Coturnix japonica: one gene and its partners. The protein of the gene in region 3 purifies or fractionates together with the protein of the main gene of each other region. This does not show direct contact. Links are inferred from orthologs where the notes say so. Each region holds a gene or a part of one and is shown on either strand. Other genes may lie near its edges.

Region 1 (4,269 bases), on a different chromosome or scaffold from region 3:
CTCACAGCCCCATCCAGCCCGGCTTTGAGCGCTCCCAGGGAGGGGCATCCACAACATCTCTGGGCAACCTGCTCCAGTGTCCCACTGTGTTCAGTCTTCTGAGTCAGGTACCGGATCAACTTTTGCCATGCTCAGGTTTAGAAAGAAAACCACCTACTGGTATTTAGAAGGGTGGGGAATTCGTTTGAGAAACAAACATATCAAGGGTAAGATACAATCGGATGCTTCACTGAGTAATTTGTAGTCACAAACACATTATTAAAGCAGTCAGTAAACTTTTTTTCAATGAAATGATTATCTCAAGAGGGCGTAGGGATGTCTTGAGCATTCTGTCACCTTCCTGTGGATACGGAAGCAGGCACTGTTTGCGATTGCTTCCTGTTCCTAACAGAGATGGATCTGAAGCAATACCACGGATAGACATCAGAACAGGCTGCCCAGGGAGGTGGTGGAGATACCATCTCTGCAGGTATCTAAGAAACAAATGTGGATATGGTGATTAGGAATGTAGTTTAACAATGCACTTACAGTGTTAGGTGGATGACTGGACCTGATGATCTTAAAGGTCTTTTCTAACCTAAATGGTTCTACTGAGAACATCCTCAGTGGTGATTCAGGAATCTCTTCTGTGGCAAAGACACCCCAAGAATTACAAAGGCAACAGATGCACAAGGATCAAGAGCTCTCCATAAAATTCAACAGAATTTTATGCTCTTGATTAAGAGCAGGAGGCAATGAATTGAAGGAGTAAATCACAGAATTGCAAAGATTGGAAGAGACCTCAAGAGATCATCGAGTCCAAACCCTCCGCTTTCAAAGCACATAAAGTAAATGTTTACAGCTTGGTACTCATTCCAGAACATGGGCAGCAGGGCAAATCTGCTAACTCTGCAAAGACTGCCACAAATGAATGATGATACTACCTTAACGATCACCCAGTTCAAATCTTCCTGCCTTCCACCATATCTCAGGTTGCTCAGGGCCCCATCCACGGCCTCGAACACCTCCAGGGATGTGACAGCATCCACAGCTTCTCCAGGCAGCACGTGGCAACGCTTCACCACCCTCTGAGTAGAGAATTCCTTCTCTGCAACCTAAAGCTGCCTTCTTCTAGTTTGAAGCCATTACCCAGTGTCCCATCAATACTCTCTCCGTCCCTCGCCAGTTCTTTTGCAGGCCTCCTTTCCCCGTCCTGTTCTTCATATCTCTCGCCATTAGTGCTCCTGCCTTCAACCCAATTGAACCTATGCTATACCCTTTTAAACTTGAGACACATTAAATTTAAGACTTACATTTCACTATTAAAAAGCTATTACTGCTATTCAGCTCATGCTTCTGAAAAAAAAGACCACAGCGATGCCCTTTTTCCTAGGAACTGGAGCCACAACTTCATAATCAAATGTGAAATCCTGAAGCATCACTACAACGACCTAATGAGAGCACGTAAAGCTAGAGGAGCCCATAATACACTCAGCATAAAGTCCATGAACCTCAAACTCTGAGCTGAGGTTTGTTTCCAGCCTTAATTGACTGCAGACATAAAACCTGTGACACAGCGCCCACGCCCTCTAACATCTACTGCACCCCATGCTTAACTTTAATTATTTACCTCAGAAATTCACCAAAAAATTACCAATACAAAAATACTGTGACATAACTGTCAAAGTACTTCAGAGGCCGCGTGGACTCGGAATAACTGCTGACAGCCCCACAAACTGTTCACATTTTCTCAAGACTACAGCATCCCTAAAACAACACAACGAAGGAGAATTACTTACAAAGCGAGGCTGTATTTCTAGTTGGAGCAGCCACCAAACCCTCCCAGCTGCGCCTTGACTACGTACAAACAGCTCACCGCTACTTTGTTCTCATTAGGTGACTGAAGGCCGCATCCAGCTGACACCTACTGCCTCTCTCTGTTCTGCATCTGCACACTAATGCGTGCAGGCAGGCAGAAAGCGCTACACAACTACAGCAAATCTCGCTCAGCGTGAACGCCGGCCCTCACCTGACCAGGTCTCCGTGGAGCTGCACGAAGAGGTTTTTCCTCTCTTCCCCGTCACAGATCTCAGCTGCCGGGGTATCCACCGTACAGAGCACCAGGCGCAGGTCAGACGAAGCTGCAGAATCTCCTCCATAGACGTACACGCAGCCCCGGCCGACATCCTCTCTCAGCCAGTCCCGCTCGCGGGAGCTGAACCGGCTCCTGTTCAAGCAGCTCCTGCTCCCGTTGCGCTTCACGTTTCTCTGCGAGGCCAAAACCGGCGCGTCAGCAGCCAGCCCTGCAGCGGCACCCGCCGCCCCGGCCGAGCTGCGCGATGGGCCCCGGGTACGGCCGGGCGTGGAGGGGCTGCGGGAGCACGGCCAGAGCCGGCGGGCACGGAGCCGGCACGGAGCGGCCCCGGCCAAGGTCGAGGCGGGCACCACCGGGTATCACCGGGTATCACCGGGGATCATCGGGCATCACCGGGCACCACCCGGACGCAGCGCACGCGGCCGCCCCGCACGCCGAGCTGCCGGGAAGGGCCGGCGCGGAGACTCGGCCCGGAACGGCCCCGCTCGACCCGGGCCCCCCCCCACCTCCTGCTCCTCCTGCTCCTCCTCACCTTCAGCACCCGGACGACGCCGCGAGGCCCGGCCCGGCCGCCCCGCGCTCCGACCGCCGCCGCTTCATCCTCCTCGGGATCCGGCGCGTCCTTGTGCCCCGGCCCGGCCTCCCCCATGGCCGGTCACACTCACAAACCTCCGGCAGCGGCTCCTGCCGCCACGGCGCCGCGCGCCCCGCCCCGGAAGCGCCGAAACTTCCGCCCCGCGGTGTCGGCAGCGGCAGCAGCGGGAGGAGCGGGACGGGGAGCGGGTGCAGTGATGGAGTCGTGCGCAGCGCTGGATGGACGCGCTCCCGGCGCAGTTATTAGTCGGTGCTGAGCGCCGCACGGACCGCGGGCACGAGGCCGCCCGAGCCCCTACGTACCCGCTGTCATCGGCGCAGCGCTCACAGCGCGGCTGCGTAACGCGGGGTGACACCGCGCGGAGGGAAGCGCCGTCCCGTACTGCGGGGCTGTGACCCTGAGCTTCCTTCATTCCTGCACGCGGCCGCTCCAAACAGCGCCTTGTCCCGCTGGGCTCCGTGAGCCGCTGTCGGCAGTCGGTACCAGCACCGCAGCCACCTCAAAGCCGCAGCCTCGTGCCCGCCCCGCAGCGGTTCTGGACTTCACGCAGCCGCTGTGGCCGCAGCCCGCTCCTTACTTGCTAATTCCCGGTCTCGTTTCTAAATGAGCTGCTTTCCAAACCCTCACACTGGTATTATTTCTGTGTTAAGCACTTACTTCTATTCCACAGAACCTTCAGAAATTTCCCACCTCGCTCCTGGTTGATCTCAGCGTGTTGCAGCTCAGCACAGCATCTCTGCAGTCAGGACCTGTTCCAAGATGGGATACCGGGCTCAGCACCAGGACGTCCCTCTGTGGCCCGTCCTGCTCCGCAGCACCTGCCCGCAGCCACATCGTGCACCGCTGCACCAACACACGGCTCTGAATTCTCAGGCAGAGGCCGTGGGGAGCTCTGCTCCTTAACGAGGAGCTGACTGACAATCGGGCTTAGCATTAAGGTTCCACATGTTCCCAGCACACGCCCGTGCTGTGCAGGGGAAAACTGGGATTGTATTGGAAAACATGGTGTCTAAGGAACTGTTCCTGGGACTAGAAAACCCAGGAATCTTACAGCAGGCAACTACACGTTGCTTTAATGGGTGAGACTGGAACAATCCTCGTCTCAGTGGCACACACAGCACAAAAGAGACATTTTAGGTCAGTAAGGGAACCACAACCGACTGCGCCTGCAGCCACTGGGGGAAAACAGCATCCGCTCAGATCATACCTGCGTAGCACCTGGTCCTGCTGGCAGCAGCTCGTTCAGGGCAGTATTTGACCTGACCTTTTTAAGGGTTTTTAACTGTCCATTTCACTCTCCAAAATTTCCTGAAAGCTTTTCAAACTCCGCCCTTGATGATTTCATATCACTTGACTCTGGCACGGCCCATCAAAAGCTGACAAAGGCTGTTCCATTGTACTTGCACAAAGCAACAAGGCGCAGTTTTAAATCATGGAATATTGACTCATTTTATTAGTCACTTCATAATTTGTTTCAACCAAAAGACAATACACACAGCAGAAGTCTAACGCATTCCATGTACGTGTTTACATCAGTTATGCCCCTCACTCAAGACTTAGCATTTCAATTTGTCACATGTCAAAAATAGATTTGCAGAAG
Region 2 (4,028 bases), on a different chromosome or scaffold from region 3:
CAGCGGAAGGGGAAGGGGGGGCAGGGGGGGCTGTCGCTCTGCTCTGCGTCACGCCACGTCACGCACAAAGGGCTGTCGGGTGCTGCAGCCGCTGCTGGGTCCTGCTGCCCGTATCTGCACTGTGTGGGGGGCTGTGGTTGATGGGGAGGGGGGGGAGGAAGGGATGGTGCCCCCATATTGGAAACCAGGGTGTATAATGTGTGGTTGTTTTGGTCATTGAAGAGCCCTAAAGTGGTGCTGTGCTGTGTGCTCTGGTCCCTGTGGGGTCTGTATGCTCTGGGAGGGGAGTGGGACCCCAATAACACCCCTAAAATATACCCCCCCCCCCCTCCAGGTTGACCTCCTGGTCAAGGTGTGGGTGGGTGGGTTGGCAGTGGGGAGGGGAGAGGGGTGGGTTGATGGGGACAGAAAGTCAATGGGGATCCTATGGGGGCATCATAGAAACAGGGGCTGGGGGAGTTCTGGCTACGTGGGGGATCAAAGGGATCAGAGCAAGGAATGTGTGGGCAAATATGGGGGGGGGCGGGCAGAGGCTAAAAGGTGGAGAGGGGGGACATGGGGACACAGGGACGGGAGGGGGGCATGGGGGTAAGAATGGGGGATATGGGTTATACACAGGGAGGATATGGATGGGGCACAGGGAACAAACACTGGAGGACTAAGGGATGGGGGGGGGGTGGTCATGGGGATACGGGGGTGTATAAAGGTGGGGGGCAACTGGCCAGAAGTGGGGGGACCCAGGGACCATCGTGGGGCTGTGGGATGGAAGTGAGGATGCAGAGGGGCAGGGCTGGGGGTCCCAAGGGCTGTCATAGGGGACAGAGGGGGAGCAAACCCGGGGTGGGGGGGGCTATGGGGAGGGGGGATAGATATGGGGACAGAGCTGGGCTGTAGGGACAATGCACAGTGCCAGGGAAGGGGGGGAAACGCGGCCCCAACCATGTGCAGGGGATGGAGGGGGGCTGAGGGGAGGGGGCGGCGGTGGCAGCAGCGTTCTGTGGGTGGGTGGGGGGACACACATAGAGCTGGGGGGGGCATCATCCAGCAGAGCCCGAAGCTTTAGCGGTGAGGAAGAGGAAGAGCAAGAGAGCGTCGCTAAGACCCAGAGGGCTCTGCGGGCAGCGGGGCGGGCGGATCGCGGGCGGCAGCGCTCATCAGCAGCGCAGAGAGAGAAAGGGGAAGAGGAGGAGGAGAAAGGAGGAAGGAAGGAAGGAGGGCCGGGGTGGAGGATAGGGGGGGGGGGGCGCGCTGGGCCCCCCCAGGCTGACGATGGCCTGACCGGGTCCCCGCAGCCCCCCAGCACGGCCCCCTCCCCGTGCCCAGCGGGCGGCGGGCGATGCGGCTCGGCGGTGACGGAGGTTTCGGGGCAGGATGCTGAGGACGGAGGCAGCGAGCGGGGCCGCAGCCCCGGGGGGCAGCGGGGGGACCCCGGGCGGCGGGGCGGGCAGCGGGGGGTTGAGGAGCGCATCCCCGCACCGCAACGCGTACGAGGCGACCATCCAGGCCCTGAAACCCACAAAGGATGCCGAGGGTGAGGACGGCAAGAAAGCCCGCAGCAAGAAGTATGGCTCCAACGTCCATCGCATCAAGAACATGTTCCTGCAGATGGGGACGGCGCCGGGCCCCGAGGGAGCGTGCGACTTGGCCAAGGGCAAGGAGAAGCCGGTCCGACTGTCCCTGCCCCGCACCGGCAGCCTGAGCGATGGCATGGAGCAGGGCAGCACCCTAAAGCTGGGCACCAGCGTGTCCGAGAGGGTGAGTCGCTTCGACTCCAAGCCCGACAAACCCTTCTCCAAGCTGCAGGAGACAAGGAAGATCTTCGAGAGGAGCCCGCAGGAGAAGGAGACCACCACCAAACTGCTGCTGCGCAAAGAACGCGCCGGCTTCCAGGACCGTAAGCTGGACGTGGTGGTGAAGTTCAATGGCAGCACTGAGTCTTTGGATAAGCTGGACACCGAGGCCGTGTCGCCCACTGTCAGCCAGCTGAGCGCTGTGTTTGAGAAGGCTGACCTGAGGAACAACCTGCATAAGACCCCGGGGCGCACGGGGCCGCTCAACTCCAAGCTGGTGAGCAAAAGGTCCCGCGTCTTCTTGCAAGGAGATGGTGGCAAAGCTGATGGCGGTGCAGAAGGAAGCGCTGGGACCACACGGCCACGACCTGCAGAGGAGGAGAAAGTGATGGGCAAAGCCCCGAGGTCGGGGGAGAAGGATGGGAGCGTCCCGCGGGTGCAGGAGGTCTGCAAGATCAAACCCGTGGAGGTGGAGGAGAGTGGAGAGTCGGAGGCGGAGGTGGAGGTGAAGGAGCCCACGGCTGTAAGTGAAGTGGCCAAAGGGGCCGAAGGGCTGGTGGCCCCCGAACCGTGCCTGGATGGGGGCGAGGAGCCCCCCGACACCAAGGAGGGAGGAAAGGGTGAGAGGGTGGAGGAGAGCGAGCTGTATGATGAGTCCAAGAAGGAGGACTTCTCCGAGGCGGACCTGGTGGACATAAGTGCCTACAGTGGGCTCGGGGAGGACTCGGGGGGCAGCGGGTTGGATGAGGATGAGGAGGCGGATGGGCTGTATGAGCCTGAATCCAGCTGCATGGAGATCCCTGGGCTGTCCGAGGAAGAGGAGCCCGTCCCCAACCGCAAGATCCAGTTCAGCACGGCGCCCATCCAGGTGAGTCCCGCCGGGGTGCTTTGGGGGGCCCAAAGAAGGGAGAAGAGGGGAGGTTTGGGGGTCCTCAATCATCCAGCGATGGGGTTGGAAGACATAGAGGTGGGCAACCTCCTGCCCCATTGGCCATGGCCCAAGCTTGGGCAGCCTCCATGCAGCGCTGATGGCACAGAGTGGAGAAGGGCAGAGCGTCTGCAATGTGCCATTGTACCCCAATAGTGAGCACCCACTGCTGGGGACACATGGCCACGTGGGGAGGGGAAAGGGACACGGTATGGGGTGGAGACCTTGGGGCTGTGAGCTGTTGTGTTGGTGACACGTGGAGGATGGGGATGGCACACACTGCCAACCCAGTGCCCCAAAACCACACGTTTTGGGGGTGGAAGCCCATAATATTCATCCAGGCCTCATTTGCTGCCAGGTTCCACCAGCCCAGCCCTGGTCCCCATGTGCTGTCAGTGCTGGGACTCCCTCCGGAGCAGGGAAGGTTGATGCCCACCCCGCTGTGCTCAGCATGGGGACCATTTCAGGAAGTGGAGGAAGGGGAAGTGCCTCATGGCAGCAGCAGGAGCTGCTCATCCCCCTCCTTGTCCCCATATGGGGACAGCTGTGGGATTTGGGGTCCCCCCACCCATTGCCAGCCATGGCACGGAGGGCGATGAGGCCATGCCGTTAATTCAGGGCTTTCTCTGATGCTCGTATCCCCCCGGCTGGAGGAACAGAAATTGCTTTGTGCCTCGCTGGGTTATTTATAGCAGCACGGCCTATATTCTGGCTCTGAGTCAGCGGCGGGTGGGTGGCCCCACCTGGGATGGGACACGGGCACCGCGGTGGCACCGCGTGGGGATGGGGTCCCATGGTGGCCATACACTGCTGGGGGTTCTACACTGCATGGATCAGCCATGCCAGCCCTGAGAAGGAACCCCCCCCCCCTTCGTGGAGCTGTGGATGTGCTTGGAGGGATGCTCTGCTCCCCTGATGTTTGTCCCCTGCTCTGCCCCTCTGTTGGGGGGGACCCCCTGTCACAGTGCATGTCAGCATCGTGAGCCCCCAGAATGGGCACATAGGGACACCCCAGCACCCATAGAGAGCACCCATAGAGAGAACCCATAGAGAGCACCCTGCTGTGCCCAGGGATGGGGGTCCCTGCTGCCAGCCCCCTCCCTGGACAAATCTGCTCCCTCCTGCTGTGTCTCCTTTGGGAGCTGCTCTGGGTCCCCTGCAAGTCTCCAACACCCCAAAGACTTGGGGACAGCACTGAGGGGCACAGTGGGACAAGCTGGGCCATGCCTGGACCCCTCTGGGTACCCTGTGCAGATGGGGGGCAGGTGTCCAGCTTGTCCCTAGGGGTGCCACACGGGTGGGTCCTGCCT
Region 3 (4,290 bases):
GAAAAGCTAAAAGATTCAGTGCATCACATAGAAAACCTTATCTACCATATTTCTGTGTGTGTGTGTGCAGTTTGTCCACATGACTCCGTATCAGCCCAGCCTTGCTTCATGTCTGTGATGAATGAGAATGAATGACAAGCTGAAAGTGCAGCTCAGACACATAGAAACCAGCAACTTATAGCCTGTGCCAACATGATGCTTCTTGTGTTCCAGCAAAGACAACCTCTGATGGACTACACAATCTCTAGAGGTCTCTCCCAACTTCAAAGGTTCTACGAGCACCGTGCATGTTTTTGTTCTCCTTTCAGTAATGAGCTGTTGGTCAGAGGATTTAAGAAACACTGCATAGCAGGGACTATCCACATATAATCAGTTGACATGCAGAGAGGAAGAAACAGCGGAGGACCACATAGATGGTGAAGGGCCTGGAGCATCTCCCCTATGAAGAAAGGCTGAGTGAACTTGGTCTGTTTAGCCCTGAGAAAAGAAGACTGAGAGGGGACCAGATTCAGGTCTATAAATATCTGAGGTGTGGAGGGGGGAGTGGTGAAAAAAAAAGCTTTAATTTTATCTTAAAAAAAAAATGTAATGAGTTAAGCAATGCAACTTTGTGATACCTGTCCTAGATGCTTTAAATCATATGCTCTGCACTGTTGTAATAACAGAAAATAGTGAAAATATGGCTGCTAAGGAAGAGTTTTGGCCAAGGCAGATGTCTTTTAAGAACAATACCATCTGCTTGCAATTGCAGGGAAGACACTGCAGTCAGCAATGCTGGAAAACGCAATTCTTATCAAAATAAGCTTATATTAGCATTAATGAGTAGCCAGTGAGCATGGCTGCAATCAGCAGGAATGTGAATATGTGACTATATATTTTTTACTTATTTCTTTACCCATTTTTTGTCACTGTAAAAATGTTTCTCGCTAGGATTATTGATCTACTGTGCATTTCACCAATCACCTCGTCCAGTCACCATTACTGTTTTGAAGTAAATGAAATAATCAATACCAAAGCAAACCCCCCAAGGTAATATCCCTATGCACAGCCTTCTTTTCTCAAGGCTAAACAGACCCAGTTCCCTAAGTCTCTCCTCATAGGGGAGATGCTCCAGGCCCTTCACAATCTTAGTAGCCCTCCGCTGGACTCTTTCCAAGAGATCCCTGTCTTTTTTTGTACTGGGGAGCCCAGAACTGGACACAATATTCCAGATGAAGCCTCACCAGTACACTCATATAAAATGGCTTTCATCCAGAGGAAACCTGGACAGGCTTGAAAAATGGGCCCATGTAAACCTAATGAGGTTCAACGTGGCCAAGTGCAAGGTACTGTACTTGAATCGTGGCAACTCCAATACATAAAATGGCGAGCCGCCATTACTGGGGCTATTACTGAGAGGGAGCTCTGGCCCAGCCCCCTTGTCAGTTGCCTAGCAACGCCTCAATGAACGTCAGCCATCTTGTTTCTGCTTTATAAGGGCTTTGGGGGCTGAGAGTGGGGGTGGGACTTCCGGAACGTCACTCCTCGGAAGTGACATCACAGTGTCAACATGCAAGATGGCGGCGCATCACCGGCAGAACACGGCGGGGCGGCGGAAAGTGCAGGTGGGTGCACGGCGGGGTTCGGCTGTGAGGAGCAGCAGGGCTTTGGGGTGGGCTACATACGTGTAGGCCGCCCTCAGGAGGACGGTCGGGGATGGCTGGGCTATGGGAGGGGGGCGGTGGTTGCTGGGGAGGGGTCTCTGCGTTGCTCCGTGTGGGAGGCTCTGGAAACTACGAGGACTGGCTAAAGGAGAGAAGGGAAACGGCTTCATCGGCTTAAGGGAAACGATACTGAGCTACATTGAGCCACCCGCCCGGCTCCGGGCTGCTGTTCTGAATGCAAGGCCGCAGAACAGTCAGGCTGTGATAGTGAATGGTAAAAGTCAGGAAAATAGATGTATTGTGATGTTTTGGGATAGTATCAGCACCTTTAATAGCTTTACTCCTTTCCCATAGCAAAATGTATGTTTTATGTGTACCTCTGGTGGTAAGTGCAAGTTTCAGCTGTTTTTAACCATTATATTTATATATATACCGATTTAGCTTGCAATAGTCTCAGCATCCTTCCAAACAGAGATGGGTGCTGTGTCTTAAGGCACCTTTTCTATTCTGTCCCATAGAGGAAATGTTTATAGCTTATAGCAGTTCTTATAGTCAAAGAAGCACTTGGTCAGTGCTGCATAAAGAATTCCTGTGCCCTTTTGCATCGTCTGCACCGTATGCAAGTTCTTGAAGATTGGCCTCCCAAGGAAGGAGATTTTGTATTTATTTATTTGGTGATCTGTTGTCACTGTGTTACTTGATGCTTTTTGCTTCTCCTTATCCTGCTGTGATGATCCAGGCTTCAGCCAGTGTACACTAAGTGATCAACAGAGAATAACTTTGATTATATTATAAGCACATACAAAGTATTAAGTACAAAGTAGGTATTTTATTGTAGTCCTATTACTTCACTTACTTGGTTAAATTCAGGGTTTTGGCCAAATAATGGACTTCTCAGTGGCTCTTGCATCCATCAGCTGTTGGTAGAAAGTAAAAACCATTAACAGTTTATTTTGCTTCCTGATGGCTGAGCATTTAATATGTTTCTGCATCAATTAATAGAGATTTCTCCAAAATCTATAGTGCAAGGGGAAGACTCTGTAGAAGAATGCCCATCAGTTGTGGAGGATCCTGATTCTTTACAAGACATGGGAGCTGGTTAATATTTATGCAAGTTTGAGCTGTTGTTGTCTCTGTTGCACCTGTTTTACTGGTCAGTAGAACCATTCAAAACTGTGTAGGATGCTTCTGCATATAATTGTATATTGCATAAGGGTTTAATCAGGATAGGAGTTTCAGACCTTAAAGTGAATTCTGAGCATAAAGGTAAGAAGTATAATTAAACGTGAGGCACTCATGTGAATTGTGTCAGTGTTCCAATAGTAAGGTCCCCTTCACTAGGGGTGGAATGGAGATGTGTGGGTTTGGGAGTAGTAAACATCACTGTGTGATGGGAATCAGTTGGCTTTGTGCTACGGCTTTCAGATGTGGTACTGTGAATTAATTCAAGATGAGGCCATTTTTCAGCTGGTGTGCATTCTTCAACATGTTTTTGTTGGTATTACCTATATCTCTGGTGCTCTTAGTCACTGAAATGGCTAGTCCTGATCCGTTTAAGATACTAAGTCTCATAAATTCTTTATAATGAGGGTTTATCTCTGTAATATTCCCTATGAGGACAGGCTGAGGGAGTTGGGTTTGTTCAGCCTAGAGAAGAGAAGGTTGCGGGGTGACCTCATTGCAGCCTTTCAATACCTGAAGGGAACTTACACCCAGGAGGGGAGTAAACTCTTCGAAAGGGCTGATAATAGCAGGACTAGGGGAAATGGTTTTAAGTTAAAAGAGGGAAGATTTAGGTTGGATGTTAGGGGGAAGTTCTTCACTGGGAGAGTGGTTAGGCCCTGGAACAGGCTGCCCAGGGAGGTTGTGGATGCCCCGTCCTTGGAGGTGTTCAAGGCCAGGTTGGACGGGGCCCTGGGCAACCTGATCTAGTAAGTGTGTATGTTTGGTGGCCCTGCCAGGCAGGGGGGTTGGAACTACATGATACTTGAGGTCCCTTCCTACCTGGGTCATTCTGTGATTCTGTAATATTTAGACAGTGTTTACTGCAGTGAAGCGTTGCTATTTGTTACAGGAGTTTATAAATGCTACAACAACATTAATGTAAAAAGCATTGGTCATTATTAAAGTATCTTATAGCCCATCTTGCCCTTTCTGGACCATCAAATGGCAATATCACAACGTGGGGTCTGTCATCATCTTTGTGTTTGATGCTGGCTTTGTGAATAGATGCAGTGAGCCAAGGTGCAATGTGCTCTTGGTTGCCTTGTTTGAAATGTGATGAAATGTAACCTGTTGTATCTATTATTCAATGTGTTTGTGTACACATACTTGAATATATACTCTGTATTCATTGTATTGATACTATATTTCCTAATAGTTACTGTATTTCTGTACTGAGTATTGCTCCAATCTAAAACCAAATAACAATAATACTATGGAGTCCTCTCTGACTTCAGGATGTCATTAGGTTTGGGAGTGGGATTTAGAGAGTCCATCAAGAATGAACTGATAGCAGCATTTACCATTTGCTCTTCAGTCTATCAGAGACTTATTAACCCTGAAACAAGACACTTACTCTCATTTTCTCAGTTCTCTCAACATATAAACAATGCTTGTAAAGAGGTGAACAGCTTGCATTTAGTAT

Evidence for each region.
Region 1: the proteins of WDR48 (region 3) and PHLPP2 purify together in Homo sapiens (affinity purification with mass spectrometry; 5 studies listed by BioGRID and IntAct, with this or other methods). This does not show direct contact. The link is inferred for Coturnix japonica from reciprocal best matches to the Homo sapiens genes WDR48 and PHLPP2.
Region 2: the proteins of WDR48 (region 3) and PPP1R9B purify together in Homo sapiens (affinity purification with mass spectrometry; 3 studies listed by BioGRID and IntAct, with this or other methods). This does not show direct contact. The link is inferred for Coturnix japonica from reciprocal best matches to the Homo sapiens genes WDR48 and PPP1R9B.

Annotation. Positions count from the first base shown.
Region 1 is NC_029526.1:17,690,115-17,694,383, reverse strand, and holds the start of PHLPP2 (PH domain leucine-rich repeat-containing protein phosphatase 2), read right to left. Parts: upstream 2,801-4,269; 5' UTR 2,724-2,800; coding exon 2,607-2,723; intron 2,248-2,606; coding exon 2,009-2,247; intron 1-2,008. UniProt on the Homo sapiens protein: Protein phosphatase involved in regulation of Akt and PKC signaling.
Region 2 is NC_029542.1:2,576,123-2,580,150, forward strand, and holds the start of PPP1R9B (neurabin-2), read left to right. Parts: upstream 1-1,228; 5' UTR 1,229-1,371; coding exon 1,372-2,658; intron 2,659-4,028. UniProt on the Homo sapiens protein: Seems to act as a scaffold protein in multiple signaling pathways. Modulates excitatory synaptic transmission and dendritic spine morphology. Binds to actin filaments (F-actin) and shows cross-linking activity. Binds along the sides of the F-actin.
Region 3 is NC_029517.1:4,674,374-4,678,663, reverse strand, and holds the start of WDR48 (WD repeat-containing protein 48), read left to right. Parts: upstream 1-1,490; 5' UTR 1,491-1,556; coding exon 1,557-1,604; intron 1,605-4,290. UniProt on the Homo sapiens protein: Regulator of deubiquitinating complexes, which acts as a strong activator of USP1, USP12 and USP46. Enhances the USP1-mediated deubiquitination of FANCD2; USP1 being almost inactive by itself.